Arabidopsis thaliana: one gene and its partner. The protein of the gene in region 2 binds, or shares a complex with, the protein of the main gene of each other region. Each region holds a gene or a part of one and is shown on either strand. Other genes may lie near its edges.

The links.
Region 1: AT3G48080 (region 2) and PAD4 share a complex: the UniProt entries of both Arabidopsis thaliana proteins name them as parts of the nuclear complex.

The regions. Positions count from the first base shown.
Region 1 is NC_003074.8:19,424,588-19,441,965, reverse strand, and holds PAD4 (alpha/beta-Hydrolases superfamily protein), read right to left. Parts: upstream 10,872-17,378; 5' UTR 10,401-10,871; coding exon 10,110-10,400; intron 9,009-10,109; coding exon 7,674-9,008; 3' UTR 7,516-7,673; downstream 1-7,515. Other genes in the region: PUB22 (plant U-box 22), read left to right, coding at 1-1,023; AT3G52440 (Dof-type zinc finger DNA-binding family protein), read right to left, coding at 5,776-6,576; OEP7 (outer envelope membrane protein 7), read right to left, coding at 11,997-12,191; SYP122 (syntaxin of plants 122), read left to right, coding at 14,934-15,504, 15,677-16,131; AT3G52390 (TatD related DNase), read left to right, coding at 16,783-16,808, 16,930-16,955, 17,053-17,153, 17,241-17,298, 17,378-17,378.
Region 2 is NC_003074.8:17,744,552-17,761,177, forward strand, and holds AT3G48080 (alpha/beta-Hydrolases superfamily protein), read right to left. Parts: upstream 10,640-16,626; 5' UTR 10,595-10,639; coding exon 10,277-10,594; intron 10,197-10,276; coding exon 9,444-10,196; intron 9,372-9,443; coding exon 8,553-9,371; 3' UTR 7,912-8,552; downstream 1-7,911. Other genes in the region: AT3G48060 (BAH and TFIIS domain-containing protein), read right to left, coding at 1-3,008, 3,097-3,471, 3,684-3,821; AT3G48070 (RING/U-box superfamily protein), read left to right, coding at 6,327-6,401, 6,474-6,540, 6,610-7,420, 7,647-7,746; EDS1 (alpha/beta-Hydrolases superfamily protein), read right to left, coding at 11,002-11,742, 11,839-11,919, 12,016-12,747, 12,824-13,141; RR5 (response regulator 5), read right to left, coding at 14,561-14,735, 15,486-15,556, 15,684-15,761, 15,856-15,935, 16,039-16,189.

The DNA of each region.
Region 1 (17,378 bases), 1.7 Mb from region 2:
TCGGAGATCGAAAAGCTTATCAAAGAGTCGTCATCTTCGCATCTAAACCAAGTCAAATGCCTCAAACGACTTCGTCAAATAGTATCTGAGAATACAACCAACAAACGGTGCTTAGAAGCCGCAGAAGTTCCGGAGTTTTTGGCAAATATCGTAAGCAACTCTGTAGATACGTATAACTCTCCTTCTTCTTCACTTTCTTCTTCGAATCTCAACGACATGTGTCAGTCAAACATGTTGGAGAATCGATTTGATTCTTCAAGAAGCTTGATGGACGAAGCCCTAAGCGTACTCTACCATCTTGACACATCGGAGACAGCCCTCAAGAGTCTTTTAAACAACAAGAAAGGAACAAATCTTGTGAAAACGTTGACGAAGATTATGCAACGTGGGATCTACGAGTCAAGAGCCTATGCGGCTTTGCTTCTCAAGAAGCTCCTGGAAGTTGCGGATCCAATGCAGATCATATTGTTGGAACGAGAACTTTTCGGTGAGGTGATTCAAATCTTGCACGACCAGATCTCTCACAAGGCGACAAGATCAGCAATGCAAATCTTGGTGATCACATGTCCATGGGGAAGGAATAGACACAAGGCAGTGGAAGGTGGAACAATCTCGATGATAATCGAGCTTTTAATGGACGATACTTTCTCATCAGAGAGAAGGAATTCAGAGATGGCGATGGTGGTTCTTGATATGTTATGTCAGTGCGCAGAAGGAAGAGCTGAGTTCTTGAATCACGGTGCCGCTATTGCGGTTGTGTCTAAGAAGATATTGAGGGTCTCACAAATAACTAGTGAAAGGGCAGTTAGGGTTTTGCTTTCGGTTGGGAGGTTCTGCGCGACACCCTCTTTGTTGCAGGAGATGTTGCAATTGGGAGTTGTAGCAAAGCTGTGTCTGGTACTTCAAGTTAGCTGTGGTAACAAGACTAAAGAAAAGGCTAAAGAATTGCTTAAGCTTCACGCTAGGGTTTGGAGGGAATCACCTTGTGTCCCAAGAAATTTGTATGATTCGTATCCTGCTTGAACAACGTACATGTTTGAATAATTCTCATCAGATACAAACAATTCTTTGAGAATTATTCTTCGTATAAGTTCATTTTAAAACAAAAAAGAGTGGTTTAAATTTTGCTCAAACTCTGATTTTCTTTCATTTGTTTTTGTTTTATTATCTTTCAATGTTTATCATTATGTGTAGATAATAGTGGACATATTTTCATGAAATTATGAAAAAACTGCAAAGAAATAAATGGATTCACAGGTTACATGGCTATTTTATCCCACTTGCTTTGTTCGTAATTGTTAGAGGCTCCTTATTTATATTCTTTTTGTCCATTACTCACAATAATAATGGAGAACATCTCTTTCAACTTCTCGTTTTTATTGAGTGGATAACCTAAAGGTTACATCATAGTTCTGCTAAAACCATTACTTTTTACAAATACTTTTAGAGATTTGTATGCGTCATGTGTAACGTTTCTGACCATTTAATTGATGCCAGAATTGTAACATTGCGAATGTAATTATGTATATATATATATATTATGTCGGTACGTTCTACAACTCTAATCCCACTATTGATTTATATATTCCAGTATACATCGACGATATCCACGACGGGCATTCTTTCATTCGAGGATGAGTTTCTGTTTTAAGAAATTCTTAATTAAGATTTGTTTTCTTAATTATTATGTAAACATACCAAAAGTCCTTCATATATATGTGATTTTGTATTCACTTATTGTGATTTTTTAGATCACTCAGTTTAAAATGATTTAGACTAAACGTGGTAAAAACTGTTTACGAAAACTCTTTGCATGCGTTTTAACGATCAATAGACATTTCATTATCGGTAGATCGAAGGCAAAAGATAGATGAATATAGGAATCTAAAGCACGTTATAGCAATATTATATAGCAAGAATCTCTGTATTTATACACCTCGGTTCTAGCAATCAGGGAACATGGTCTTGGGGAGAACATGAGTACAGTGTCGTTTTACCTGAGAAAATTAATTATTACTTTCGGGCTATAAGTCCAATATAAATTCCTAAGGTTTTACATAAATAATCGCTCATGTCAAAGTTAATTTGGATTACACTCGAATTTACTCTTCCAACACTGACTTATGAATTTGTCTTTATATTCTTTTATTAATATAATCAGGTATATCTATACATACTTGATAGTTGATACAGATCAATTTCAGAACATGCAATTCAAAAAATATAAAATAAAATAAAATCGTTTTATCAGAATCGACAAAAATATTTTGGTCGACGTTGATGAATTGATTGTTTTTTTCTTCTATGTTTTTTTTTTAATTATTTTTTTTATCACAAGACTAGATCATAGAATTTACTTCATTGTAACTCCTAACATTTTTATTTTTAACAAAATATTTATATTCTTAACAAAAAAGCATTCAATATAAGTGTAAGAACAACAGCATATGTTAAGATTGAATAAAAGTGTAACACACATGAGCAGTAACATGGGTGGTCCAGTTACAGTGTGTTTTCTAGTTAAAAATCAAATTGTAATCTCCTTTTAGTTATTGAGAATAATTTATGCACCAAAAACATGAAATCCTATTAGCAAAAATTAAGACACCAGCAGCTGAGTATTGACCATCATTCTCACTTTATTTGGCTATATCACATTATATATAGGGACTTGTATAATTTTTTCTAAAAATACTTAATTTTTAGTTGTATATAATAAATGTCATGAATCCAAAGTCAGATCTTACGAGCAACCATGTCGCAATCTAAATAAGAGTTAAAAACTACGAAATTGGCCCAGCCTCGACCACAACTTGCAGTTGTAGTTACAACGTTATGGAGAGAATATCCACAGTTGACAAAACTTTTTGAAATACATGCGCGTGACATATATACTACATCCACAAAAATACATGCGCGTGTATGTAGTAGGTTCACATATAAATGTGAACGTGAAGGACTAGCTAGTGTATAATGTATGGTTATAAGAACTTGTAATTTATAATTCCATTTCATGTAATGTTAAAATGTTCAAGGACGTTAAGTCGACACGAAGACTTGGATTACATGGCGGTGGCTACGTTTGACTCGATCCCCTTTTTTGTTTTTTTTGAAAGCTTATTTTATGTCAAAACTGTAATTTTGAGAATTTTTTAGAAAATTATTTGTTTTGTTTGCTGATATTAATTTAATAATTTAAAATTAATATGAGAATCATACATTAATAAATGTATTGCTCTTGTGGTTTGGAACCGAGAAAATATCTATGATGCGTTAAGAATTTACTTGATATGGTTAATAATTTCATACAATGATAATTTACCAACCGAAAAACCTCATTGCGTAGAATTAGACAAAAAAGAAAGATAGTTTTTTTTTTTTTTGTAAACAGAAAAAAGAAAGATAGTTATAAAGAGTTGTGTAGATACAAAGTTTTCTATATTCTATGATCTTTGAGCCATTACGTACAAGAAAAATAGAAAATACAACTAAACAAAAGTTTCAAAATTTATACTTCTCCCTTCCTAATCCAAGTTTTTCCATACACAAGCTTTCCCAAAAGCTGAAGGTTATACATAAAATTACCGATCCGTTAAGGCTAGCTAATTTCACTCTATAATGTAGGCTAACATTCTGAAAAAAGCAGATAATTATCTCAATTTGATATCTTCAAGTGACAAAACCTTAGAAACAGATATATACACCAAGACAAGACTTTGGTTTGTTAATCTCCAAACCCTAGTTCTACCAAAAAAGCCTTTTAGAACTCTGTTTCAACAACAATGAAATGGCCCATAGCCAAATGATCACCTACTATACGTATTGTTTTTCTGAGATTGTTTTTCAGCTACCCTCAAAAGCATATTACAAATTAAGCCCGAGTATATCTCTCAGTATTCAACCTTCCTTCCTGATACGATTGATACATTAAATCTTCAGTTTTGGTAATCTTCTCTGCTTCTTCATAATTTCATATTCTTCCGATACTCACCTCCACGCTATCTCCATACATTTGATATAAACTTCTCAAGCCAAAGAAAACTTTGATATGCCATGCAATCCTCTTCATGCATGTCTGATCAGTTTTACATTCATGTAACCATGTAGACTATAGGAACACCAGAAACTATTTCTGCTTGAATTACTTTATCAGAGTCTAAGATCAGTGTTTAAGTATCATGTTGTCTATAGAATAGTTCATATTCTCCTCCACCCATTTCAATCTAAACAATTCAAAATTTTATTTAACAAATTTTAAATGCACAACTGTTTTCTTTAGTAATATAATTCTTGGATCAAGCGGAGATGTATGGGGAACGTGTGTGACACGAAGCTCGATGATGAACAACTTTCCAAGTTAACTTCTTTGCCGCCTACCTCTGAACTCAAGTTGCGTAATTTTTTCCATTCTAGCTCACCAAATCTATAGTATTTTCGTTTTTTTCGTTTTTGACAATTTATTATCGTTTAGGTTTCATAATACTCTGACCAAAAAGAAGGCTTCCGTAATGTTTACACAATTAATGAAGTAACTAGATTTTAACCCGCGGTGTACCGCAAGAACAATATATTTTTAAAAGTTAGTATACATAAAAGTTTGTAAATTGTATCTATCTATAAAATATTTTTATTTTATAGTTTACAATTGTTATTAAGTAACGTCCTGCCAAACCCCTCCCGCCAATCCGTCCCGTAAAAAAACCATTTATTTTATTAATATTGATCTTATTTATAATATGTTTATGAATTATTGTCTAAATATTTTGTAATTTTATAGTAAGTAAATGCTATCATATATCTCTGCGATTTGATGATTATAATCGAATTGTTATAGTCATGGAGAAAAGCAATATCAAAAATGATAATTTTGTAGTAATTAAATGATATTAAATATTTTGAAAGTTTTATTTTAGGAACTAATCGTGTAGTTAATGTGGAGAGATTTAGGGAACATTGTTAAATGCCAAATATTTAATTCGAATATTTTTTTTTTAATTATCAAAATCAAACATTAAAATCCAGTGACAGCCATTGTAAATAAGTCTCAATTACAGGATTTATTTCACAAAATGGCTGTAAAAATGTATATGTACATTAGTTGTGTATAAACATTAAAATGCTGTTGAAGTGGCGGTGTTATGGTAGCGAGGGTCTATCTTCGTTCTTGAGAGATGAGTTTTTTGTTTGCCTCTAACAGTTGGCAATATGAATAGGAATACGAGGCTTAAGCTAAGAAAGTGTTCAATTCATAGAGAATTGGATTTCGCATGTAAACGGCCTAAATTGTATTTATAAATCTCTAATAAATAAAAAACAACTCTTGTGATATATCACATTTTTCTTTTTCTTTTCATGTAGAAAGGAGTTGAAAGAAAAGTAGGAACAAATATGCTCTTTCTCTGACACTCCCTTTTTGGAGAAGGATCTACACAGGCCAGAGATACTAACAGGCTCTCACACGTGCAACCGTGATACACGTGCGTCTCACTTTCTCTGAATTGTACAAGTTCAAGTAACGAAGCAAATCTCAATCGAATCCAAAGACAAGGACCTCCACGTGGGATTCTTGAGGAAATCTTCAAAACGACTGAATAACCAAAATAAATAATGATCTGTAGAGTACACATATTATTACCCCTTAAATTTGTACTTAAAATTTATCGACTTTCTTAATTACATGAAATGATCTATAGAATTTCATATAATCGTGTATATCATTCTTTGTATAATAGGTACAATAACACAAATTCATAAATTTATATGCAAATATAAGGATCATCCATCGGCAGTGAAATCAAAAGGGCTCCAACTTCCAAACAAGAGATTGGTGGAATCATTGGATTCGTCAGCGAAATGAACCACCGGTTCGTGTACAGCCTGAACCGGAGTCACGCCAACGTCTACATGGTTATGACCAATCAACAAAGCATCAGACCAAACACCATTAGTGTCTAAAGAGAGAAGCTCTTCACCAGGAAATGGAGGCAAGCCATTATAACCACATTCCTCCACAATGTGTTCCACCGGATTAATATAATGATCATGATGACCATCATTGATGTCCATACTCCATGAAGGGTCCATGGAAGTGCCGGTAGGATTATCTACCAAAAAATCCGTAGTGGCTAAGTCGCAATTTTCTTGTAGTATAGATTCGTCAGGCTTTGGATTCAAGAAATTGGCGTAAACAAGAGCAAGATCGATGCTTGGTGAACCACCACCGGGGTTGCCAGAATTAGCGGTTAGGCTAGTTTTAGTATTGTTACCAGAAGATGATTTGGGGCGGCGGGATTTTCGACAGCCACCGCCTACAGGAACATTGCGGAGGGAACCACCTTTGGTCCAATATCTGCGGCAGCCTTTGCAGAAGTAGCGAGGCTGAGTGAGGCTATAGTTGTTGTAGTAACAGAACTTTGTGTTAGAGGATCCACATCTTGGACAACTCGGCGTGATCTCCGCGTTTGCGTTTGCGTTTGGCCGCCATATAAACGATGATGTCAAGGCCTCTGCTCTCTCCATATCTCTCTCGCTCTTCTTTAGTCTATCGGAATACGAATGTATTATATACGCATGCATGAATGTGTGGGTGAGAGTTTGTGCATGTGGAGAGTTTGAGACGCGTGGAGGCTAGAGAGTGGATGAAGTTTGGGGGAGCAAATGCCTCGTAAGGGTGCACTCACTGTTGCTTCTTGGGGGAGACAGGGTTAAGGGTTTTGAATCTTTGATAGATATTTAAATACTAGTATTTGTTTTTTTTATCATAAGATATGAATAAGAAAATAGATCGTCTTGGAGATTGTTTCGAAGGGAACTAAGAAGCCTATGGCCTCTTTGGAGAGATGGGTTATTGGGTGTACATTGAGCTATTTGTACGGCTTAGTTTATGGATGCTGCACGATTAATATATGTCTTTTAAAATTAATAGAATGTACTTACAATCATATTAAGTAAAATATTCATATCAATAAGTACTAAACCATGAGTTATCTATATTGCAACATTTTCTATTCACATTATATTCGCGAGAGGACGATGAATATTTGGCCAGAGTCGTTAAGAATCAGAACTTGTAGATAACGAATCATAGATAGTCATAATTATATAATAGTATATAGTATGAAAATGGTATGTAAGGTATGCGTAACGATCTGTGAATAGAAACTATAGAACGAGAAGGTGAAACAAGAAGACACAAGTTTTGAAGAACAAGGACTGTCTCTATTTGTCTACTTATTTGACTTGAATTTATTTGATTTATTAACCCACAGAAAAATGGGGATTGGAAAGGAAAATCTGAATGGGATAAAGAGCTTCTTGGATCATGTAAATATTGGCAATCTCCAAGAATTCTATGTAGTAGGTCTTACGTTTTTCTATATATTTGTATTCTAAAATTCCTGAAATTAGATCACCATCACACTACATGTTGGTTTTAGAGTAATAGCTTTACTTCTCACCAAAAAAAAAAAAAAGAGAGCAATAGCTCTACATGAGAAACTCTTTGCACATTGCACAAAAAAAGAAACTCTTGCAAAACTTGTTGAACATTGACGATAAATTTTGTTTTAGAATATATAGTAACATTCATCAGAAAGTCTTGCATAAACATGATGAACAACAATGATACAGATTGTTATATAGCATATCAAACATTCGATTTGCTATTAGTCCTACTAAGTCTCCATTGCGTCACTCTCATCAACAACCATCTCAATTTCATTTTCATAACCCATTTTGCACTTGAACTCTTTCAGATTCGCCTCCCACACACTATAACTCGAGTTCTTCGCTTTAACATCCAAAGAAACCTCCTTCTTCGTCACCAATGTATTCGCATAACTCTCGAATGGAACAATCTTTTCCCGTAACAAAGATCTCCTCTGGGGATCACTACTCTCTTTTCTCGCCTCATCCAACCACTCTTTTGCTTGCTCAAGCTTAGCCCAAAAGCAAGTATCTTGCGTTGTGCTCGCGTATCTGCTTCTCACACACTCCTCAGGCACTTTAACTCCTTTCTGCCATTTATCAATCACCTCATACCTTTTAGGTCTATTCCCCTCCAAGTAATGCCCGCCAGTCTTTATATCTCTGTTTTTGTAGAAATTCGCAATGTCGAGTGGCTCGGCTAAGAGTTGATAAAATTGAGATGCGTAAATCCATTTCTTTCCTAAATGAAAATCAAAAGGTAACTCATTCGTCTCCACCATTTTAATCACTGTGTCCCAAAACTTAGCTAGTCTTATGCGACTCATGTTCACTTTAAAGTCTCTCTTCAACGAATATCGTTTGAAGAAATCGTAGTAACCTAGCTGCTCTTCTGATGCATCGCAACGATCTTTGTACCATTGAATCTCGAGTCTTGCTGGCAAGACACTAGCAAGCTCATTGGCTAACTCAGCTGACCTCAGAATAGGAGCCCGAACAATTCTTGTAGCTGTTTCTATACATTCTTTGACTAAAACGCCACTTGTGTCATCGTTAGAGAAACCTAGAGCTTCAACGGCTAACGCAACACCAGCTTGGTAGCTATTGTCGGGGATACTCCCACCAAGAAAGCTTCTAGATTTAAGAAACATGTGTGAAAGTGTGAACACATAGTGTCCGTACCTCTGATGTTCCTCGGTGTTTTGAGTTGCTGTGGTGTTGAGGATATTAAACATCAGACGAACAGAACCAGCGTTGTCTAGACAGACACCTCCTTTGTCGGAACAGAACAAGTAAGTTCCAAAGGGCCAGAATTGTTCATTGCTGCTTCTAGGAACGAGGTCGTGGATGGAGACCACGTGGCAGAAGTTGTGTGCTAAACGTGATCGTGAAATTGAGGTGGAGAGAGATTGGTTTCCGAGCAGAGGAGAGCCAAAGGTGATACAAAAGACGCGGAATGACGGCGGAGAAGATTGAGATAGAAGCCAAAGTGCGGTGAAAGCGGCCAATGCGCCGCCGGTTGAATGGCCGGTTATCACCACCAGCTTTTTACCTAACAATTCCAATTCCAATCCTTCCTTGATCTGCACGTTAATGCAGTCGACGTTACTGTAAATTGGTTGACTAACAAGAACAAAACTGATTATAGATTACCTTCCTTCTGAGTGTACAATTTCCTCTAATAATGTAAACTGATTTAGAGACTAAATTTGCCAATTACTTGGTTTAACCAAATTTGAATAAAAATCAGTTAAGACACCTCTCTAGACTTACCATTTTTACAACTTATATCTACATTAATGGTCACTTCTTGTTTTTTCTACTCATCAAAACCAATAGGAACTTGTTTTTGTTCAAGATTTTCATATCCTTAGAGACAAAACAAAAACTAAAAGTATTCGACGAAAAAGGGAATAAAATACATGATGGTGACACAATAATCATGGGTTAAAAACTTTTTGAGCGCACATTTATAAACTTCGCCGAGGTGTGTTAAAGCATAAAGCGTAAAGCTACCAATTCCATTAACATTTTTTGTTTTTTTTGGTGTCAAAAATACCAATGACGTTTCACTCACTAATTAGTAAATTTTTTAAATCACTTGGGCGGACGGACGTGATGGCATACAAACCAAACTTTCAATTGACTTGCTTATGATATCCAAAGGTCGCGACAATGACATATTCCAAATGGTGGATTTGGAATAATTGTGTCCACGAATCTTTTTAGAATTTCTTACAAGAAAATAATTTTTATTTATTATCTATTGTCTATTGCCTATTGGGGTAGGTGGTGGTGATAGTTTATAATAATCTTTTAAAAGGACAAAAAAAACCTCCATTTGGATTATAATTCATCAAAATTCAGAGGACAGAGATATTTAAATAAAAAATAGTAATGATCATCAGTTCTACTAAAAAGTACTAAAATACGTAAAAAAAATAGTAACTTTAATAGGTAAAATTCGTTTTCGCAAATCCAAACGAATAAAACTTATGATAGAATTTTGTTTTTTTTTAAAATCCTTTGTGAAATAATTTCCCATATTAGCATTTAATGATTTTTGTATTTTTCTCTCGAGGTATTATTAATTGAAATTCAAATATCCACATGCCTTGAAGATAATAAATAGGTTAAATTGCATCCAATAGAAAGAAAAAAAAACAGAGGAAGAGAAAACAAACCTTTAACTGAAGAAAGAGTTTGAGTATGGCAGCGTCGACCATAGGTAGAGGTTCATCGGAGGATAAGCCGGGGAAAAGAACATCTCCGGTGACTGGCAAGCCCACAAGATTCCCCAACTGAATCATCGATACCGCCGGTATAGCAACGTATGTAATCCCGGCGATGTCATGGATCTTTATACTCCCGTTGCAATTTGCGGTGTTGCATGAACTCCAAGAATCGGTAAATAAAGGAGTCGATATCATTACCGAAGCTTGCAACTCACTCGTCTCGAATCGACAATCGTCCATGATTGGATATCGAGTAGAGAGTTGCAGAACGATGATGTTTATGAAGTTGTAAATATATTACAAGCAAAAAGAAATTATCTATGTATCTTCTTGGCTTGTTCCTATGTAATTTCTTGGTTTTGGTCTTTGCTAAGTCGTCTTCTTCAAAGTCTCTTACTTTAACATCATAATTTAGTAAAATTGTACTGGTTTTATAAAATAATAATAAAGAAATGCTGTGAAAGGTAGGTCCATTCTCATTTTTTAATCATTGTGTGTAGAGGACAAAAAAATATGTAAATATATAGTAGAAGAAAATGCGAATCAAAGCATGTGATCCTATGTAATCGGAATGGTTTAGACTTGAGCATAAATTGACAACTTTTGATATGCAGAAACTTTGGTAAGAGTTTATCTATCTATCTTTCATGGAAATTGCAGAGAAATCAACCTACATTTGACTCAGACATTTTGAAGTTTTTTTGGCTAAGCTTTTAAAAGGAACCAATTACTTTCAGTTTCAGCTTAACATGATATAGTTATACAATTTGGCCCATATAAGTCCTACAAGTTAGACCCACCATGACTTGAGGAGATTTTTAAGTTGTGGTCTACCTCTACTAGAGAGATATAGATACTTGTTAATGAATTTGATAATTTACTGTTTGGAAAGGTTTATATCTAATTTAACAAAAAAACAAAGCATTGAAAGGTCCATGCCATTGTCATCTTTTAATCTCTGTTTGGGATCTTTGTGGAAAAACCTAGAGTACAAAATGGGGCAAATTATCAAAACAAAACAAAAAAGGTTTGAAGAAGAAATATCTGATGATTAGGACTTAAGCATGTATTAGAAAACTCTTGCCTTAACAAACTGATAATGATAAAAGAGATAATCTGAATCCTAAATGTCAATGAAACTATCCAACCGGACAATAATCATTGCAAAGCTACCATCTATAGTAATTTTCATGTAATTTTCTGGTTTTGATATTTTCCTGAATTGGAGTAAATATTCAAATTAAACAATGAACTTCTATAACCAAGTCTCTCCATTAGAGACTAGTAGTACATTTTCTTGGTGTTTTCTCATATGATGAAGTCAGTCGTCGTCCAAAGTTTTCTCAACTAAATGATGTTAAACAATCAATCTGACACATCTTTGTATCACCACATGTTATCGTCTCCCTATACTTATTTAGCTAATCTGCTTTATCTATAAAGCAATCTTGTAATTGTCAAGTTTGATATTTTGCTCTAACATGCTTCTTTTCAAGAGATACGTATAATCGAATCATAACTTAAAACAATTTAAGTACTTATCGGATTCCTAATCTCTTCTTCCACCTTAATAATACAGCTCGAAACTTTATACAAAATACGAAAAACGGTGTAACAAATCATGTATGAATATTGATTAGATTAATGATTCTGTTATGCGATTGAACTACAATAACAGATTCAATATAGCAGACTTTTCCAAAAATTGATGACAAATAAACGATCATGACTCAAAAGAAATTGCTCAAACTGTTATGATTAAGAACACATGGATTCATCAGTTACATGAAATGGATTGAAATCAGTAAATCTCTTTAATCTGATAAAACCCTAATTTTACAAACCCTCTTTGGATGTGGTTGCAGTAGCGGCGGTGTCGAAGTCATCGGGGTCTTTGGTTGGGTCAGATTTGTCGATTGAGGAGCGGAATTTATCGAGGAAAGGCTTGAAAGCGATCTCTATGGCTAACCATCCTAACGCCATCGCTGCGACCACCACAGTCGCCTGTTTCGCTCCCGAAGTTTTTCCCATCGCTGCGTCGTCGTCTTGTTCGCGTGTCGGTGGTATCAACCGATGGTTTAAGATCGGGAGATGGGTTTTACTAGGATGTTTAAAATGGGCCGGTTTGGGCTTCTCATTGGATAAAGATAGTTTGTTTGTTAAACTATGGCCCAACTTTTTATCCGTCTATTGGTTAATTAATACAAACTTTTTATATAATTGTAAATATAATTGAAAGGATCCCTATTTTATTTTCTTGGGAATATATATATGGAAAAAAACAATCAATAGAATTAGATAAATAGTTCAATATATCAACAATTTCTTTTTTGTTAGGATAAGGAACTTTTACCTTTTTTCTAATATAGTTACAAATTGTGTTTTTTTTTTTCTTAATTTATTATCAAATTTCTTTTTTACTTATATATAACCTCCTTTTTCATATAGAGTTATTAACTTTTTCATTTTCTCAGTAAATGTATTAACAAATTTAGACTTAATACATGAAGACATCTAATATTTTTATTGATATGTGTCGTGAACTCGTGACATGTTAGTTAGTAATTTTTATAAAAAAAATTTAGATAGGTTAAAATTATTTGATATGTGTAGGGGTGTCAATGGGTCAAAATTTATTGGTCAACTCAACTCAACCCATAAACCCTAATGAGTTGAAAATTTTGACTCAAATGAGTTGATGGGTCAAATGAGTTGATGAGTCAATTGGTTTGATGAGTAAAATGAGTTGGGTTGTAATGATTAATGGTTTCAATGGTTTACCCAATTAACCCATCAAGTTTTGTAAAATTGAATTAAACCAACTAAAATTTCTAAATCAATGTCAATTTAAGTCTAACCAACACATCTAAACCAATTTAATAAAATTAATATTTTTCCAAATTTCTTAAATATACATGCGATGAAATTGAGAAAAAGTAAACTCGTAAATTTTCCACCAAAAAACATAAACCCGTGATTTTCCCGCCAAAAACGTAAATCCGTGATTTTCTCGCCAAAAACGTAAACCCGTGATTTTTCCGCCAAAAACGTAAACCCCTGATTTTTCCGCCAAAAACGTAAACCAGAGATTTTCCCGCCAAAAACGTAAATCCATAATTTCCCGCCAAAAACGGAAACCCGTAATTTTTCCGCCAAAAACGTAAACCCATAATTTTTTTCCAAAAACGTAAACCCGTGATTTTCCCACCAAAAACGTAAACCCGTGATTTTCCCGCCAAAAACGTAAACCCGAGATTTTTCCGCCAAAAACATAAACCCGTGGTTTTCCCGCCAAAAACGTAAACTCGTAATTTTGACGCTAAAAACGTAAACTCGTAATTTTCTCGCCAAAAAACGTAAACTCGTAATTTTTCCACCAAAAACGTAAACCCGTGATTTTCCCACCAAAAACGTAAACCCGTGATTTTCCCACCAAAAACGTAAACCCGTGATTTTCCCACCAAAAACGTAAACCCAAGATTTTCCCATAAAAAACGTAAACCCATAAAAAGTAGAATCCGTAAATATCCTAAGTTTGATGATAATGAATTAATAATGATAATTATTTATTATTATTTTATAATAGTAATTAAGTAAATTATTAATTAAATGGGTTAACCCATTTAACAACTCAACCCATCAAATTAAATGAGTTATGAGTTGACCCAACCCATTTAACAAAATGAGTTGAGTTAACACATAACTCATTTAACTCTAAACTCATTTGATTATGAGTTGGGTTGAGTTGGGTTACCCATTTTGACACCTCTAAATATGTGTCTCTAGCCTCTACTATTTTTAAAAACTAAATTTTATATAATAAATTTTTTTATCTTAATAATAACCAAGTTGAACATATTTTAGTTCTAAAATTAACTACTCGGTTTAATATTAAACTTTAGACCAGGACATGCCGGATAACATGGTCTTAGTGTTGTCGTACGTCACCATTAGAGTTTCAATTTGCATAATACAAGGTGGTTGACCCAATAAAAGAAATTTGATTCAATTTCGATATAAACAGGTTTGTTTTGGTTCAGTTTTACCTATTACTTTTTATTTTGTCCAATCCCAAAACTATTATTTCAAAGACAAATTGGAGAAGAAACAAAAAAAAACTAATGGTTGGACAAAAGATTATTATATATCAATTTCACCACAAAAAACTTAGCATTAAAATATTCGAAATGGACAGCGACGAATTCAAACCTTCGTGTTAATTGTCTCCGGCGACTATGAATTCTAAAATCTTCCACTTTGCCTAAAATATCAATACATCACATTCATCCTAGCCTTATCCACTCTTTCTTGGAAATTCTGGTCTGGTTTCCCTTCAGCAATTCAATTAACTTCATCAAACCGACCGGTTCAAACAATCATCTAGAAATTCTATTTTATTGTTAGACTAGATCATGAAATTTTGACCGAGTCAGCACACATAAAATCTGGTACTTGACGTGGTTTAGTTAACCCAACAAAGTTGTTTTGGTTAAACGGATTTATTGACAAACGTGTTTCGGTTCACTCACTAAAAAACCCGGTTAGGTAGATACTACTTCATTGACAACAAACGAAGCATCCTTTAATTTCAAAACCGCGTTTTAATCAGACTTTTCCTTTTTTATTTTCAGTTCTAATGTTTAAAACTTTCCTTTTCTTTTTCTCCATATTTGACTCGTCAATATAAATACAATTGTAACAAACAGATTTTGATCAAAAGATTTTACTTTTCTCAATTCCTTTCAACTTTCAAAATCGAAGATCTCTTAAGCCATGAACGATCTTCTCTCCGGCTCGTTTAAAACCTCCGTCGCGGACGGTTCATCGCCGCCGCACTCACACAACATCGAGATGTCAAAAGCGAAAGTCTCCGGCGGAAGTTGCCACGGTGGTAACAACCTAGACACGTTCTTCCTCGACGTGGAGGTTGTAAACGAAGACCTTAAAGAGCTAGATCGTCTCTGTCACAACCTCCGATCGAGCAACGAACAGAGCAAGACGCTTCATAACGCTAACGCGGTGAAGGAGCTGAAGAAGAAGATGGACGCTGACGTCACTGCTGCGCTTAAGACGGCGAGGCGCTTGAAAGGAAACCTCGAGGCTTTAGATCGGGCTAATGAAGTCAACCGAAGTTTACCGGAAAGTGGACCGGGTTCGTCGTCGGACCGGCAAAGAACTTCGGTGGTTAACGGGTTGAGGAAGAAGCTGAAGGATGAGATGGAAAAATTTAGTCGAGTGAGAGAAACGATCACGAATGAGTACAAAGAGACGGTTGGGAGAATGTGCTTCACCGTCACCGGCGAATATCCCGACGAAGCTACCCTCGAGCGTCTCATCTCCACAGGTAATAATTTTTTCCAATTCTTTCTTAACAATTTTTTTGGTCAATTTCAAAATTCAAATTCTAAACGTTAAAGAGCAAGAAAATAGCGCAAGTTGTTAAACCTTTTTAAGAAATTGTTAGTTTATAATTTGGTTAAATCATGATATTGATATAAATTGGAATTATATTGTAGGTGAAAGTGAAACATTTTTGCAGAAAGCGATTCAAGAACAAGGTCGTGGTAGGATTTTGGACACTATTAACGAGATACAGGAGAGGCACGACGCAGTGAAAGATATTGAGAAGAGTTTGAATGAGTTGCACCAAGTGTTTCTTGATATGGCTGTGTTGGTTGAGCATCAGGGTGCACAGCTTGATGACATTGAAGGCAACGTCAAACGAGCTAACTCGCTTGTTCGGTCTGGTGCGGACCGGCTTGTTAAGGCACGGTTTTATCAGAAGAACACACGGAAGTGGACTTGCTTTGCCATTTTGCTATTGCTCATTATTGTGGTTTTAATTGTGGTGTTTACTGTTAAGCCTTGGGAGAGTAATGGTGGGGGAGGTGGAGGTGCACCTCGTCAAGCTACTCCGGTTCAAGCTCAGCCACCGCCACCTCCGGCTGTGAATCGGCGGCTACTACGCTAAATAATTTTTTTTTTGAGGTTCCCTCTGTCTATGCATGAGCATATCTATGTTTTGAAGATTGTTTTTTATTTTACAGTATTTTGTCTTTAATGTTTTTGTAATGTTTTGGTTGGTTAAACTCTGTGTATATATAATGCGATCACCACATTTCTTTGTTTTATTATGGAACGATTTGCTTATTTTTTACAATCGACTTAAGTTAATTTGACCGTCTATGATATTATTATTCGGAGAGATCTATCAAAATCGATGGTCAAAATGAATTTCCAGAGAATATGGAAATTAAAAAAATTGAAATATATATCAAATATTATCATACTTAAGTATAGATTATTTACAGTTATCTCTATAGTATTATTTACATTTATATTTATTTTAAATTATGAAACTTAGATTAATTTGTTCTCTATATAAATAATTTAGACAATTATTCTTATGGGAGTCTTTTTTTTTTTTTCACTGAAATGTTGCCTTTCATTGATACCAAATTCTTATGGGAGTCTAACAGTAATTATTCATAAATACTTTTATCTTCGTACTCCCATAATTTATCGAACCATATTGGGCCGTGGGAAAAGCCGATTAGTCATACAAAGCGTAAGAAAAAAAAAAGTTTCATTGTGTTGTGCCATTGTTTCACTTTCTCTCGCAATGGCGTCATTGAAGATGATAGGCAAGTCAAAATTAGGAATCACTCAAAATAAATTTCTTCGATTGATTCTCTTTTTTCTAATGTACAAGATTCTGTGTAACTCAACTGTTGTTTCTTTTGCTTTTCTTTTGATGTGTTTGTGTAAGATCAGACATAGCCGTTAACTTCACAGGTTAGTTGAGGCATTTCCACAAACACTTTGTGAACATGTCCTTCTCTGATCAATTTATTGCACAGACCATATTAATTCTTTAGTCTAATTGAAACAGATGGGATGTTCAAAGGACTTTACCATGGCAAGAACTGTCATGTTCCGGATATTGCCACTGTCTTGAACCGGGCTTGGTCTGCTGGAGTCGATAGAATCATAGTTGAGTCACTCCTTATTGATTCTTTTTGTTTGAATGATTACAAGTGATAGACTTTGAGTAATTCAGATTCCAATTTTCCTGAATAGGTAACTGGTGGGTCATTGGAAGAATCAAGAGAAGCTCTTGCAATTGCAGAGACTGATGGTTTGTTTGTTTTATAGATCTTTTTTTCAGAAAGTTTTTAGTCTTTTAGAAGTTTTTGATTGATGTACATTTTTTGCAGG
Region 2 (16,626 bases):
AAAGGTAAGGTATTAACTGGTTGTAGAGGAGTAGGCGTCAAAACTACAGATCCAGAGAAGTTATTTGAGTCCCCATGTTGTGCATCGTCTCCATCAAAACCTTCATTTAGATCAAATTCAACTCTGGCATCCATCTCAGAGCCAGCTGAAGCTGAAGCTGCAGCTGAAACGGAAGAAGCATCTCTGGCAGCAGACGTACATTCCCCCGCTTCATCTCCATCAGCATCACTGGTTTTAGGCGCATTCGGTCTCTTAAGATCCTCTGCTTCTTTAGGTGATAATCCTGGAGTAGCTCTTAATCCTGAGTACCGTTCCATGATTTCAATATTTTCTAGATTCCCCTCCACAGGCTCAACTTTACCTTTAGTTACAGATGAGTCCAAACCGGCTGAGGCATCCTTTACAGCTCCCACAGAAGTATCAAAATCCTGCTTAATCTTCTTTATATCTTTTTGGTCCATATGATTAAACGCAATATTATTGACCATTTCAGTTATAGGTCTATCAATGCTTACAGCATCCATACCCCTTGAAATCCCAGAAGAAACGGGTACATCTTCTTCCACTTTTTTAACTAGCTCAGAACTCAACGCCGTTGGGGGTTTCTCTTCTTTCTTATCATCATCAACACCTTCCAAGGGAGTATGTTCAACAGCCACAGAATCTACCATTTTACTTACATCTCTACATTCGGTTAGCATTGAGCTTGCTACTCTTTTTGTTAAGTCAGATGTGCAATCAGCCTCTGATTTAACATCAGTCTTTATATCCTTCACTTCTCCAGAGTCACTATCATCCAAAATATTTTCCTTAATGACTTTTGTGGGTAAAGGAGGCGAAGCAACGACACCATCTGAATTTTCATTGCTCTCTAGGCGCTGATCCACAAACCTTTGCAGATCTTCAGTGTCTGAATTCGAGCTCTTAACACGATCTCCGGTCTTAGATTCATTTTTTATCTCTGACTCCAACTGTGTGCCACTACTGCTAACATGTTGCTCACCTTGCTCATTACTGAGAGTGGGGCGAACAGCTTGATGTTGCTTATGAGGCAAGCCATCCGAAGCCATTAGCTTTGTATTGTTCCCTACAGTAGAATTTTCATTCATCAAGGAATTTGGAGGCTGAGATACTGAGGGTGATGCAACAGGCGATTTAGACATCTCATCAGCAGCAACACTAGCAAGAAGATTCATTCCAACATCATCCGAACCAGCCAAAGAGGCATTTGTCTCAGAGTATCTGACACAACTTTCAATCAAAGCATTCATCGAACTGAGTGTTCCGCCATGTCTTTCTCCAGATTTGAACTCATTTCCTAATGAAGATGTGGCTTTAACATTCCCAGATGCTTTATCAGAATCCTTAAGAGCCCCTTCGCGCTCATCACCAGCAACAACAAGTGGTGAACCAGTTGCCTCTTGCGAGCCTGTCAATATATCTTTTAATTCATTGCTTTGCCAAGACTCGGCATTCAAGACAGAGCTCACATCAGCTCGATAAGAATGATTTTTTTCTCTCCAGTTATTGTCACACAGTTCCTGCTTCACCGTATGCACAGGTGAAGAAACTCTGCTATTCACTGGTGCAGGGTCCTCCAAAGAGCCTCCACTCACACTTTGAGCAGGACTTCGACCCCGCGGCAGCTTCACAATCAATTTATTACCGGAACCCTCAGTCAGAGGAACCTCAAGAGTCTTTTCAGATGTCAAACTTGATTGAGAAATTTTCTCAGAAGGGACATTCCTGTGTGATGAGAAGCTTCTACTCAAACCAGCTCCCCTAGGGGATGCTGACGAAGACGAACCTTGAAACACATTGTTTGACTTCCGATGCCTTGAAGAGCCACCGGAACACTTCTTCAAAGTTGAACCAGCAGTAGAGCTTCTTGCATCTTCTTTTCCACATAAATTGCCTGTTTTAGCATGCTCGCTCGAGCAAGACTGACTATTATTGTGCGACTGACTGGAGCTGCTACTTTTCTCATCCTTTACTGCAGCTAGGACTTCAGATACACCACCAGCCCCAGCATTTCGCTGCTGTCCATCTTTAGAAACATTACCACCTGATCCCGGAGAAGGAGCTGATCTTGTGGAGCCTGGCGACGTGGCTACACACTTCAGGTTGTTTTCCACCTGTTGTTTGACCGAGACAGACTTAGAAGCATGTAGGTGTGATGATGATGTCTTGTTTGCCTCCGCGGAACCACCTGAATGCCTTCCCCCATGACTCAGTCTTCCAGGCCAGGAAACACCCTGGTTGGATCCAGACTTCGCATCCATTTCTGCCTCAACTCGTTTCTTCCAAGTGTCAACCAAGCTCCTTGCTTTTTTCCCAATCTCTGAATTTTTATGTGAGCGTAGATGATTAACAGACTTTCCAATGTTACAAGTCTGAAGCGCGTTGAGATTCACCGGTAGCTTATCAAGAGCCCGAAGTAAGACTAAGAGGAAATCGTCTACTAGCCTATCACTGTCTTTGGGACTGCCCCCATCCCCAACTTTCCCTTTATGAACTTCCTGCAGCCACTCATCAAACACGGGTAATCCCCTGAGCTGGACAAAACGACTAAGGCAATCAAACCTGTTTGTCGCTGCTACAAACCCTGCAAGAATCGCACGGCCAACTAAGTCTATTTTCTTTTCATTCCTCTCAGGCAGCATGAGCTGAACCAATTTTTCAACTCCTTCAGAATCCACCAGACCACCTTTCTCTGTAAATTTTAAAATCTCAGACGTTAAACCGCTTTCGGTTCTGAGGGGACCGGAACCACTGTCATCTACTCGACTAGAACGTTCCCGTTTAACAGACTCAGAACCATGATCCATACGCTCTCTTTTCCTTCCCTTACTCTGAGAGAAAAGAGAGTTGTTGTTCTGGATGCCATCTTTCGGTTGTGATGTTGTTGGACTATTCATGGACTTTGGAGAACGACCACCCTGCTGTAATGTTGTATGCATTTCTGAACGAGTCTTACACAATAACTTGTCTACTTCTAGTTGTCGATCCTGCAAAGAGGAAAAAAATGCCTTAGTTACCAGAGAAAGCCATAAATCCAAATAGAAGAAGGCAGTTGGTGATGAGTTATAATCTCACATCAATATAGTCTTGATCAGTCAGCCACCATAAGCGCTCGTTTGTAACGTCGTAAACTCGCCGACACACAAACGAGCTGATACCAGATGGCAGTTCAACACCTCTTGGAAGGAAGGCAACTTTACACGGATGCAGTAAAGATGCTGCAGGTATATTATCCTCGTGAAAGGAATAAAAGAGTTCGTTCGGCTCAGCCTCTAGAAGGATACCTTTGCCAAGTTTTAATTCAGTGGGTCGATAAAGCCAATTAACACCCAACTTCAACTTATCTTCTTCCTCAGCAATGATCAAGCGAATTATCCCAATGAACGGTGGACAATCCTGTGGTGGCTTAAACAGAGCACAGTCACCAACACTAATTTTGCGCCCGTCCTGCTAGTGACAGCAAACACCAAACAAAACTATAAGTCGAAGAGCAAACCCAAAAAAAAAAAAAAAAAAACTCATTTTCTCGAATCAACCAATAGAATCACAAAATCCAGACGAAATTTCAAAACTTTGGGCAAACCCATCCACCAAAACAGAAGGAAACACGAAAGAAAAAAAAAACGCCTGAGGAAATCGAAACGAAATCGAATAGAACTTACCTTAGAAAACGAGGTAGATGAAGATAAGGACAAACAAGAAGAACCACCACCTTCCACAGTCGCAATTACACGAGAGGAAGATATCAACATGTGCCGACGACGACTTTTGTGCCTCCGCTCACAAACCCTCCCATGCATAGCCTTCTATCATCTTCTCCTTCGAACAACATCAATTTCCTCAGCGAAAATCAAACAAATCCTCAAAATTCCTTTTTTCCCCAGACAATATTCGATACCTTTAGATCCAAAAACCCACCGGTGAAAAAAAAAAACCTAATTTCGCGACGAAATGGCTCAAATATCTAGGTTTTTTTCCAATTTCCCGATCCGCAGATAACAAAACACAGATCCAAAATCAACAACAGCAACAGCGAGTAACCGAATCAGCCTTGTTTCGATCCAGGAATACGAGAATTTTTCTTCGAGAAATCGCGTAAGCGAACAAAACACCAATAAATCGAAGAAGAGAATAGAGAGAGAGAGAGAAACGGTCGAAAAGGGGAAAGGTAACTTGGGAGAGTTCGGGCGGGTCGGGTCGGGTTAGAGAGAAATATTACTGAGTGTCACAATCAAGATTATGCATGTCGTTCTAAATATAGATAGGAAACTCATGGGTACATTTCGAGTTATTCCAACCGTTAGGTGGATTCTGAAAACGAACCATACTTTCTAACATTGCACATTACTACTCATCATGAGTTGTTAGCATGTAATATCTATCTATATAAACATGTGTTATGTTTTTAACCCAAAACCAGTTTCGCTAATATAATCATAATTCGGTACGAGGTTTTATAAGCTGAAATTTGGACTCCCTTTGAAGTTTATAACACTAGTCACTAGTGCATAATTAAGCTCACTGGACATTGTTCGTTTACTTCGATCGATTAGCCAATGTAAACTGTTTGGAAAATGCTTAGTTCAGACTTCATACTAATAATAAAGTAATTTATTTGATCAGTTGTTGTCTAGGAAAAAGGTAACACACATATGTGTATGTATATGTTTGCTTTTTGAATTTAACCTCGACTTTTGCATTGCAGCAAACAAACATACTTTTTTTAATATTCCATTTACTCAGAAATCTCTTTCTTTCATCGAGAGTGTGTGTGGCGTTACCTTTTGTACACAAGAACTGCAATTGATGTGAGATAACATATCAAAACTCTGTTTGTATCTCTGATCCATAAAAGTCTTTTTCCATTGATGCGTGTCTTGCTCTCTTTTTCAGGTAGATTCCCGAATATTATTCTGTGGGTTTTTGTTTGTTTGTTGTGTTAAGTCAGATTCTGCTCAACTTCACCTTTTCTTTTGAACCATCGTGTTGGTTTGTCTATTTCGAGTAGGATTTATTCTTTAATTTCAGTTTTTTTTCATTCTTTTCTTGATTTCATATTGAACAGTGTGTTAGCTTGTAATAAAGTCATAAAAGCTTGTTTTTTTTGGACAATTGTGGAATTAAAAAACATTCCACATGTTTCAGCTTTTCATGTTGATAATCTGTCTTCATGCCTTTGGAATTGTTAGAGTGGCTTGAAGGATTAAATCCAAATCCTTGTATTATTATTATTTATCGGTCAATCTTAGACACTAGCTTATACTCTCTGTTTGTGTCGAGTAGATCAATTGGTCTCTCTTAATGCACTTGATGTATCTTTACGTAATCTTAAATGGTTCACTGATCGATTGAAGTTATATACACTCTAAAGTATGGTAAACCATGTAACTGATTCACCATTACAAGTTACATGTCATTTCACTAAAATCGATTTTTATCATCCTATGTCATTTCATAACTTAGAACTATGTTGATGCAATAAAAAATATTGTTTAACATGTTATTTTTTTTCTTTCTAAAATTTAATGTAATTTGTTAATTAGCATTCTTACTTTTTTCATGTTGCTACCTAAGATTTCTTATTATAGTAGTAATTAATTTTGCAGGTTAATGTTCAAAATACAATAAACTAATCATGACTTAGTTAAAAACTTACCTAAATGTTGTTCAACTCTCATCTGCAGTTTCCTAGCTCCCTAATACCAATTTTCATAAGCTATTTTAACCTGTTTAATTTCATGTTTTGTTGTTACATCAAAATATAAGATAAAAATGTGTTTGATCGATTCATCAAATTGAAAGAAAGAGACACAACTTTGACTTTGTGGTTTTGATGTTTTTCTAAATCATTTAATTTTTTCTGTAACCAGAAGAAACCCAGCTGATTGATCTAGAAGCTCGCTGATATTTGTGAATCATATGAACTATCCTCACGTGTAGTCCACCGTACGCCACCGTTTTTAAATGAACAGAAGTTTCTCACACGTGTAGATCCATCACAATTACAAAACCACCCCTACATTCGAGCGTGTGCAAAAGTCAAAAGAAAGGGTACTTTAGTCAGAAGGAAAGTTCTGTGCGGAGACGAGGAGTTTCCGTTATCCCCTTATTTTATCTCTCTCTCTCTCGTTTTCTCTCACAGACACAACAAACAAAGCAAAAAAAAATAAAAAATCGCACGTTTCTTCTTCTTCTTCTCTCTCGCAACAAATCTGTATTAGGGTTTTTGAGAAATCTTCATTTCGTGATTTTGAAATTTATTTGTATTTGATTTTGTTGTTGCTTTGGAATCATCTGCAACCACCATGATTTCTGATTCGATCACCAACGCTTCTGCTACTTCAGCTCCAACCGCCAGGGATTTCGGAAAAAAGAAAAGGGTATTGTTTTCAATCCTTCCTCAAATCTCATTTCTCTCTTCAAAGATTTGATTTCACTCTTTGGGTTTGCAGACGAACAGGTCGGCCAAATTGAAACAGAGCAAGCTAGGTCTTCGTCGTGAACAATGGCTTTCTCAAGGTAAAATTAAATGATCTATCTTTACATGTGGATTTTGTTTATATTGATTTGGGTTTTTGTTGTTATTAGTTGCGATGATTAACAAAGGGGATAAGGAGGAAATGGAATCCAATCGAAGAATTGGGAGTGAAAAGCCTGATCAGAGAGATCTTCCGCGTCCGGTGGAGAATTTAGATGAGGATAACAATGGAACACATCGTCATGAGAGCTTTATTGAGTCACTTTCTAATAGCCCTAACAGTATTCTTAGTGGCATGAATTCAATTCCTAATTTTAGCAGCAGCAGTAGCAGTGGAAGTGGTGGCTCTTGCTCTGGTAATATAACAGAGGAGGAAGATGCTGATGATGATGGTTGTTTGGATGATTGGGAAGCTATTGCTGATGCTTTAGCTGCTGATGATGAAAAGCATGAGAAAGAGAATCCTCCTGAGTCTTGCCAAGAGCATGAGGATATCAAGCAATCAGCTTTAATCGGTGGAGCTGATGTGGTTTTAAGGGATGCAAAGGCGGATTCTCAGAGAAGGAAGCAAAAGAGTAACCAGGCGTGGAGGCCAGACGATAAGCTCCGTCCTCAGGGTCTGCCTAATTTGGAAAAGCAGCGTAGTTTTCCGGTCATGAATTTGCATTTTAGTTCTGTGACTGTGGTGCCATCTTCGTGCCCTATTTGCTACGAAGATCTTGACTTAACAGACTCAAATTTCTTGCCATGTCCTTGTGGATTCCGGCTTTGCCTTTTCTGCCACAAGACGATATGCGATGGAGATGGGCGTTGTCCTGGTTGCAGAAAGCCTTATGAAAGGAACACAATCAAGTTTGAAGCTAGTGTTCAAGGTGGTGGTCTGACTATTCGGCTTGCTCGTTCGTCTAGCATGTTTTGCAGGTCATGAAGAAAGGATGTGTGGCTTTTCTCGGCCTGTGTCTGTTTGTTTTCTCTCTTCTTCATTGTTTTCCTCGCATGTTCTACGTTTTTCACCTGTCTTTAAAACTCTTTAGATATGGGTATAGGGATTTGTCTTTTGGCAACTGAGAACTATGTTCTATGTTCTTCTATGTCAATGACTCTTCTTCATCTGAAACATGTGGTGGTGGTGGTGGTGGTTATGTAGAGTGGTGTGTGAGTACATAAGGTGGTACACGAATTTCAAATACATAAAAGTTGCAATAAGTCTCTTTCTCATAGCCTGCGAGAACCTTGCTTATCTGTAATACTCTAAAGGTATCATTTTATGTCGTCTGTTATTTTAAGGTGGCCATAGATGTTATATCATTCTACTTGATTCTATGTTGAGCGACTAAATACAGCATATAGACAGTCAAGTTTGGTTATATATAAAATTGACATTCGCGCGAAAGAGTTGAAGATTACTTCTATTGTCTGATTCTTTTGTGAATGATCTACTTCCTCCTTAGCTATATGGTATGCATCCTTGAGTTGATTATACTGATGCAGGATTCTGGTGGAACGCAAATCTAACAGGAACGTCTTGGTAATGTGATTACTCTTTTATTTACTTGTGTTTAGGAGACATACTTGAGTCAAACTTTCATATCGAGCTAACTAGCATACAGAGGGGCATAGGGCAAGTTTCAAATTTTGTGTTTTAATCGTTTTCTTCTTTGGTTATGTAGTAGCTAGAACTTGGAGCGTTTGCACAGCCACTTGTTTTGAGGTATAGAGGTTAGTAATGTTATAAACAATTGAAGTAACCTCAGGCTCTATTCTGATGACATTCTGGTCCTCTTTCCTTCTGTCAACACTAAGGAAGATTGTTTGTTACTGGTTCATGCTATTCGAGATGGCTTTAGGCTTTAGAATAATGTATTTATTCTAAGATCATTGTAAAGTGGAAACCAAATTTGACATTAGAATAGAGAGCTATTACATTACTTCACAATGATCATACAACATGATTCTTATTCTAAGATCATCGTGAAGTGGAAACCAGATTGATAAACATTTCTTATTGCACAAATTAAGAAGCAAGTGTTTCAATAATCGAACCATTTAAGGTTCAGGTAGCTCTTGTTTCATCCATCATACGCTCACGTGGATACAGCGGAGCATGTATTTTGTGACTGTCAGGAAGTGTATTCCACCACTTTCTAAATGTTGAACCCTCCAGAAATATTTCCTTCTCATCTACTTCCCCGTCTTTGATCCATCCTTCAAGCAACCCTTCTAGTGTCTTGAATCTTACCTGAACTTCCTCATATGGCTTTCCCTTGAGTTCTTCGACCTCAGCCCAAAAGCATGAACCGCACTCGGATCCCGAATTCTTTAAGATCTCTTGAATGTCTTGCTGTAATCCTAAGTTAAGACCATTTACCTTGCTCCAAAACACATCTTTTGCGATCATTCCAGTTGGCTTTAATATATCATGTTCGTACCCTCTCTGAGCGTATTTGTAGCGGCTTGGTCTTCCATGTAACATGTACGGCCCTGTGTCTTCGTTCTTTAACTGCCCATGGTAGTTTGAAATATCAAGAGGTTCAATTAATCTGCGGTATTGAGTTGCTAAATTGATCCAGCCTCTGCTCCCCTCGAATCCATCTGGAAGCTGACCTTTCTTCACTAAACCAAGCACCTCGTCGAAAATACCGGCTAACTCCACTCTCTTGACGTTTGCTTTGAAGTCATTCTCTTCATTTGAATCTTTGAAGGAATCGTAATACCCATTTTTATGAGCTTGACACTTTGGCTTGTATACTTCCACTATCCAAGTTAGTCTTTCTACTATTTGATCTCTTTTGGTTTCTATCTTCTTCTGATTTTCCACTCGTTGCTTCTCAGCCTCTAATGCAGCATGAATACACTGTCTGGCTCTTGTGCTCTGCAAAAAAGGAAACATAAATAAGGATGGAGCTAATGAAGCTGCACAAATTGAAAAGAGAAAAAGATTTACCATTCCAAGGTCGTCGAGAGCGGAGCCTATTGAGTTTTCTCCATCCAAAAGCGGATTATGCAGATCCAAATGATTAAGCAACTTAATACCAATGGATTGTACCAGTTCCTCATAGCCATGGTGATCTCTAATGCTTAGAAATGGAATCACAGACAATTCTTGTTCGTCGTTGGACTGACAAGTGTAAAACAACATTTGAAGAATGGCGTCTGAGTTGTTCACTACAACCAATCTTTTCTGTGTAGAGAAGACAAAAGTGCCTACTGGTCTATAAGGACTTAGCTCATAAAAACTAGAAAGAGTTTCTAAAAACGCTTCTCCGTTTCCAATCAACTGACAGACAGCTTTGGAAGCAACAGTATATGTGTCTCGCATCACCCTTGTGTAAAATTCTGTTATCACCTGGTCGCTCTCATGGATCGGAGCTCTTGTAGAATCCAATTTGCCAAGAACGTAAGACAGGGTTTGCTCTATCGTTGTCTTCCGAGCAAGCATAATCCGAGGGACAATATCGAATCTTGTAACAAAGTTTACGAAAAACCGGCTCCAATTCTCTCTCCCAAGCGCGTGTTTAAAGATATAGTCACCAACCAAAGGAGCTCCAAATGTCACACAACGAGGCTCAGGGGCAGCATAGGCGTCACGTATGAAGTATGTCTCCAAATACCAAACTGTTGCTAGAATTGCAGTTGCGCCTCCGAAAGAATGTCCTGTGAACACAACCTGTTGTTTTCTATCAACCGCGCTTTGCACCTGAAGAAAGTAAGTTTCAGACACAAATTATTCTGATGTTTTCGATTTAAAACGCATTTAAGAAGCTTTTGTTTACTTACAGAAGCATGAAATGAGGTTCTTGGACCAATGAGAACTTCAAGTGACTTGAGGAAAGCTTCGTTAACAGTAGTGTCAACGTCGTTGCCGATGCTTCTCATACAAGGAAATTGATTACGCTTCATCTTTATTTCTCCAAAGGGAGATGTATTCTCCGTAGCGAACAAATCTTCCGACGAGAAAGATGCTCGGAAGGCGAAAAAAACGGTTCCTCCTACTTCTTCTTTGAGATAGTGCTCCGTTTGGTTAGCTCCCTTCGACGCCATCCATGATATGGTGACTAGATCACCGTTGACTCCCGTAAGAGCTTCAAACGCCATTTCTCTTTTCTTGAGTGGACTTTCTTCTCTTTTTTCTTTTGAGTCGTCTTGATTCTTAGTCCTCCTACTCTGTTAATATAGTAGGAAGATGTAGACAGGAGTAATTACCCAAAATACCCCATCATGAGACCATTTCAATCTAAGGAAGGTTGTTTGTTACTGGTTCATGCTATTTGAGATGGCTTTAGGCTTTAGTAGAGTAACGTATATATTCTAAGATCACTGTAAAGTGGAAACCAAATTTGACATTAGAATAGAGAGCTATTACATTACTTCACAATGATCATACAACATGTTTCTTATTCTAAGATCATCATGAAGTGGAAACCAGATTGATAAACATTTCTTATTGCACAAATTAAGAGAAGCAAGTGTTCTAATAGCTTAAATACTCCACCACCTAAGGTTCAGGTATCTGTTATTTCATCCATCATATAGTCTCGCAGAGGAGAATGCGATTTGTGATTTTTGGGAAGCGTAATCCACCACTTTCTAAACGTTGAACCCTCCAGAAATATTTCCTTATCATCTACCTCCCCGTCTGTGATCCATTCTCCAAGCATCCCTTCTAATGTCTTAACTCTTACCTCAACTTCCTCGTATGGCTTTCCTTTGAGTTCTTCAACCTCAGCCCAAAAGCATGATCCGCACTCGGATCCCGAATTCTTTAGAGTCTCTTGAATTTCTTCTAGCTGTAACCCTAAGTTAAGACCATTTACCTTGTTCCAAAATACATCTTCTGCAATCATTCCGTTTGGCTTCAGTATATAATGTTCGTAGCCTCTCTGAGCATATATGTAGCGGGTTGGTCTTCCTCTTTTCATGTACGGCCCTGTGTCTTCGTTCTTTAAATGTCGATGGTAGTTTGCAATATCAAGAGGCTCAACTAATCTGCGGTATCGAGTTGCTAACTTGATCCAATCTATGTCCCCTTCGAACTCATCTGGAAGTTGACATTTCTTCATTAAACCAAGCACCTCGTCAAAAACACCGGCTAACTCAGCTCTCTTGACGTTTGCTTTGAAGTCATTCTCTTCATTTGAAACTTTGAAGGAATCATAATACCCATTTTTATGGGCTTGACACTTTGGCTTGTATTCATCTTCTATCCATGCTAGTTTCTTTAAAAACCTCTCTTGCTCGATCACCTAAAAACCACAGAACCAACAAGTTTTATGTTGTTAGACACAAACAGACGAAGCACGTACCTGCATTATTCATGAACAAGCTTATCAACCACAAACCTGAATAATCTTCTTCTGATTCTCTACTCGTTTCTTCTCTTCCTCTAATGCAGCTTGAACGTACTGTCTGCCTCTTGTGCTCTGCAGAAAAAGGAAACACTCTGAAGGGTTTAAATGATTGCAAGAATGGAGCTATGGAGCTGCACAGTATGAAAAGAGAGAGAGAGAGAGACTTACCACTCCAAGGTCATTGAGCGTAGACTCTATTGAGTTTTCTCCATCCAAATGATTAAACAACTTCTTTCCCATCGACTGTACCAGTTCCTCATAGCTATGATGATCTCTGATACTTCGAAATGGAATTAGAGACCATTCTTGTTCATCGCTGGCTTGAGAAGTGTAAAACAGCATTTGAAGAATGGCGTCCGAGTTGTTCACTGCAACCAATCTCTTCTCTGTAGAGAAAACAAAAGTACCGGCGGGTCTATAAGGACTTAGCTCAAGGAAACTAGAAAGGGTCTCTAAAAACGCCTCTGCGCTTCCAGTCAATTCACAAACAGCTTGGTTTGCAACAGTTGATGTGTCTCGCATCACCCTTGTGTAAAACTCTGTTATTCTCTGTTCACTCTCTTGGACGGAAGACTTTCTGGGATCCAATTGGGCAAGAACATGAGGCAAAGTTTCCTCTACAGACGCCTTTCGAGCAAGCATAATCCGAGGGACAATATCGAATCTTGAGACAAAGTTCACAAAGAACCGGCTCCATTTTTCTCTCCCAAGTGCGTGACTGAAGATAGAGTCACCAACCAAAGGAGCTCCAAATGTCACACAACGAGGCTCAAGGTAAACATTTGGATTGCGTATGAAGTATTTCTCCAAATACCAAACTGTTGCTAAGATTGCAGTTGCACCTCCTGAGGAATGTCCTGTGAACACTATCTGTTTTCTACTCCTCACAGCCATTTCCACCTGAAGAAGTAAAAGCATAAGAGACCAAAAAAGAAAAAAAAAGAAAAATATATTCGGATGTTTTCAATCTTCTTACAGAAGCTTGAAATGAGGTTCTTGGATCAATGATAGCTTCAAGATTCTTGAGGAAAGCTTCGTTAACAGTAGCTACATCACCTTTACCGATTTTCCTCATACAAGGAAACTGAACACGGTTCAACTTGATTTCTCCAAAGGAAGATTTATTGTCCGGATCGAAGAAATCTTTCTCTGAGAAAGATGGTTGGAAAGCGAAGATTACGACTGCTCCTGCTTCTTCCTTGTGATAGCGCTCGGTTAGGTAAGCTTGCTTCGAGGCTGACCATGATCTGGTGATTAGATCACCATTGATTCCGGTAAGAGCTTCAAACGCCATTGATCTATATCTATTCTCTTTTCTTTAGTGGACTTTCTTCTCTCTTTTTTCTTTTGAATCGTCTTGCTTCTTTAATCCGCTCCTACTCTGTTAATTTATGGGAAGATGTAGACAGGACTAATTAGTTACCCAAAATACCCCATCATGAGACCATTTCAATGCAAAAATGGGTTTTTTTTTTTGGAGTTGACTCTTTGGCTATTGGAGACTCATGAAGAAAGAAAAGCTAGGAATCTTAGCTTTCCACGTGTCGGTTTTACATTGGTGTATGGCTTTGTACATCCGACATGACTGGAGTTTCGCAGAAACTTTCATAAACATTCACATTTGGTCGGAAAGTTTTCTCTGTGTAATCTTTGCTTGGAAATTTTGTAGCTTGACTTTGGAGTCTTCGTCTCTTTAATATAGACTCCATCTTTTGGTTTGAGATGTCACTCTCGGTTGGGATTTCGCAGTAACTCAATGATATTCACTTTTTTGTCGGAAAACAATTTTGTTGTTTAATGAATGAGGAGATTTGTTCGCTTGGAGTTAAGTTTTTGTAGCTTGACTTGGGTTTTCAGATTTGGTCTCGTATAGAAGAAATCTACTACTTTAACTCTGTTTTGCTTATAAATCTTATCCGGAAAGTAAACCGGATAATCTACAAGATATGGAACCGGTTCGATTTCTCTCAGCTGAATATTAACCGAATTAACTAACTACACCTTCTTGCCTGGTCCGTTTTTGCGTTCGGCAAGACGCGTCACATTCGACTTTTACTTGTTTGATTATGAAGTTACATGAACCGGACTAGAAAAATTTAGTTTGTTTTTTTGGCTAAACCAAATTGCATAACCATATTTTGCTTTCAGATAGAATGAAAAAGCCTAGGAGACTAAATTAACAAAAGAAACAAAAAAAAGTCTAGGAGACTAGAATTTTCTTGGTCTTAATAAAACCCAACTTGGGGAAATTTCTACGAAAAGCCATGTAAAGTGTTCCAACCAACGCTTAAAATAACTAACTTATCTCGCTGGATTCGATTCATGTAGACAGCTTTATTTTAATTAGACAAAAGATTAGCTTGTCTTCGTGTAATGAACGGTACTAAACTACTAATCCATTCCTAAATCATTATTTAAGTAATCTTAACAAAAGAAATTCATATGTTAACTTCCAAAATAACACACCACCATTTTACATATCTCTCATGTAAAGAAAAAAAAAATGTATCTCTTCTCCTCTCTAATGAATCCAAGTCTACAATTTACATTTCTATCTTATAAAAACCCATCTTTGTCACTCTTGATCAGTCTTGGTTCTATCAGCAAAAGAAGCCGTAATGTCTCAAAAATTGTAAGCCGAAAGAATCAGGACATGCATGTGTGTGAATCTTTGAGCTTTTAAAGAACATATCGTACGTGGAATCTGATAAACTCAGATCTTTGCGCGTTTTAGCTGCGAGTAGATATCATTAGCTTCAAGCTCTCTCTTGTGCATAATATTCTTAAAAGCTCTTTCCTCAGCTTTCATTAAAGAATCTCTTAATCTCTTCACATCAGCTAATTTCACAGGCTTCAATAAGAAATCTTCAGCTCCTTCTTCAAGACATCTGAATAAATATAAGGAACCAAATGTTAGTGATCTAATTCCATAAAGTTTATAACTTTGGATACAGAAAATGGCCAGCTCATATATGATAATCATTAAACTTAATCTGGTAAAGAGGGTTTGGTTCCTTAGTAATAAGCAAAGGCATGTGAGGTGTCTATCACGAGGATTGGGATTTTATAAATGACCCTACCTAAGATTATGCAACCCAAACAATTAAAACATATATTATAAAGTTTTGGAGGGCCTAACATGTCACCGGCTTATATAGAATCAAATCTCAAGAGAAGATCTTGCTTAACTTATGATGGATTATTCTTTTCTAAATTTATGGCCACAAGATAAATTTTATTATTCCTAAGATCCATTTTAAAAATCATTTTAGGACCCACTAAAATAAACACCAAATCTCAGCTTGATCAAATATACAACCACCACCAAAGTTAACCCCATGATAGTTAAAAAGTAATCATATAATAACCTTTTCTATCATAACAAAATCTTGTGATTATACAACAATTTAATTTAGTCAATACATATCCTTTAACGGTAACTTTATCACAAATCCTAAATTAGTGTGATTACTTTAAAAAGTTTCCTAAACAAACAATACCCTCTAAATCTAATCATCCCCATCTCCTGAAGTAATAAATGCACAAAATCTACTATATTTGGTAAATTTTGGTCCTACATAATCTTGACCTAAACAAGAATTAAGGATCATAGTTAAGATTATTATAGTAGAATATACCTATCGATACGAGGCAAGATGTTCTCTGAAGACATAATCACAACTGGTATTTCTCTGAAAGCTGATGATTCCTGTTAAAAAGTTCAAAATCCATAAACAAGATTAGATCAAAACTTCATTTTTTTTTAAATTTTTTTTCGTCAAATCAGAACTTCATTTTAATTTTGTGAAAACAATTGAATCATCAACAAAACTTACTTTGATCTTCTTCAGTAGTTCATATCCAGTCATCCCAGGCATAGAGTAATCCGTCATTATCAAATTAATCTTCAGATCCTAAAATATAATTTCAAACCAAAAATCTTTTAACACCAAATTTGAATGGATTCTCACTCTCAAAAATATTAAACACAATGATCAGATTTATTACCTCAAATCCAACCGAACTATTATTCTCTCCATCTAATCCAAGATATTGTAAAGCTCTTGTCGCACTATCGACAACAGTAACTGAGACAGAACAAAACTAATGTCAGATTCTTGTACTTAAACAGATTACACAAGATAAACAAACACAACACTTTTTTTTGATAAACACAAACACAACAGTTACCTTTACAAGATGAGACTCTGAGTAACCGCTCGATGAACTTCCGATCAACCATACTATCATCAACAGCAAGAACATGAAGAAGTTTCGGTGATGCTAATGAAGAAGTGTCGTTAGAGATATCTAACATCTCGGGACGCAAAACCTCAGCCATATCAAGAAGAGTAGGATCGTGACTCGTGAGAGAGATAGAGAGAATCAACTATGAGGATTTGATTTTGCTGAGAGATGAGAGGAGAATAAATGGATTTATAAAGGAAGAAAGAAGGAGAGGGAAAAGAGAAAAATATGATATGGGGAGAGGATTCTGAGAGATCTTTGCATATCTGTGGGATTTTGTCTGTCTGATAGCGCGTGGCTAATTATTTGTTTATTCTGTTTTCTTCTCAAAAGTCATATTTTCAAATTTTGGCTAAACTTCAAATAAAAATAAAATCAAAGTCATAAAGTTTTTTAATATTTTTTTTGTTGAGAATAGTCAAGTAATGGTGAGTGGTGAAATCATATGATATGTTTGATTTGGGAAGGGAAATAAAATCAATTTTGGATGAGGGAAATCGTATCATGACGATCTCTCTCGATTATTGTTGT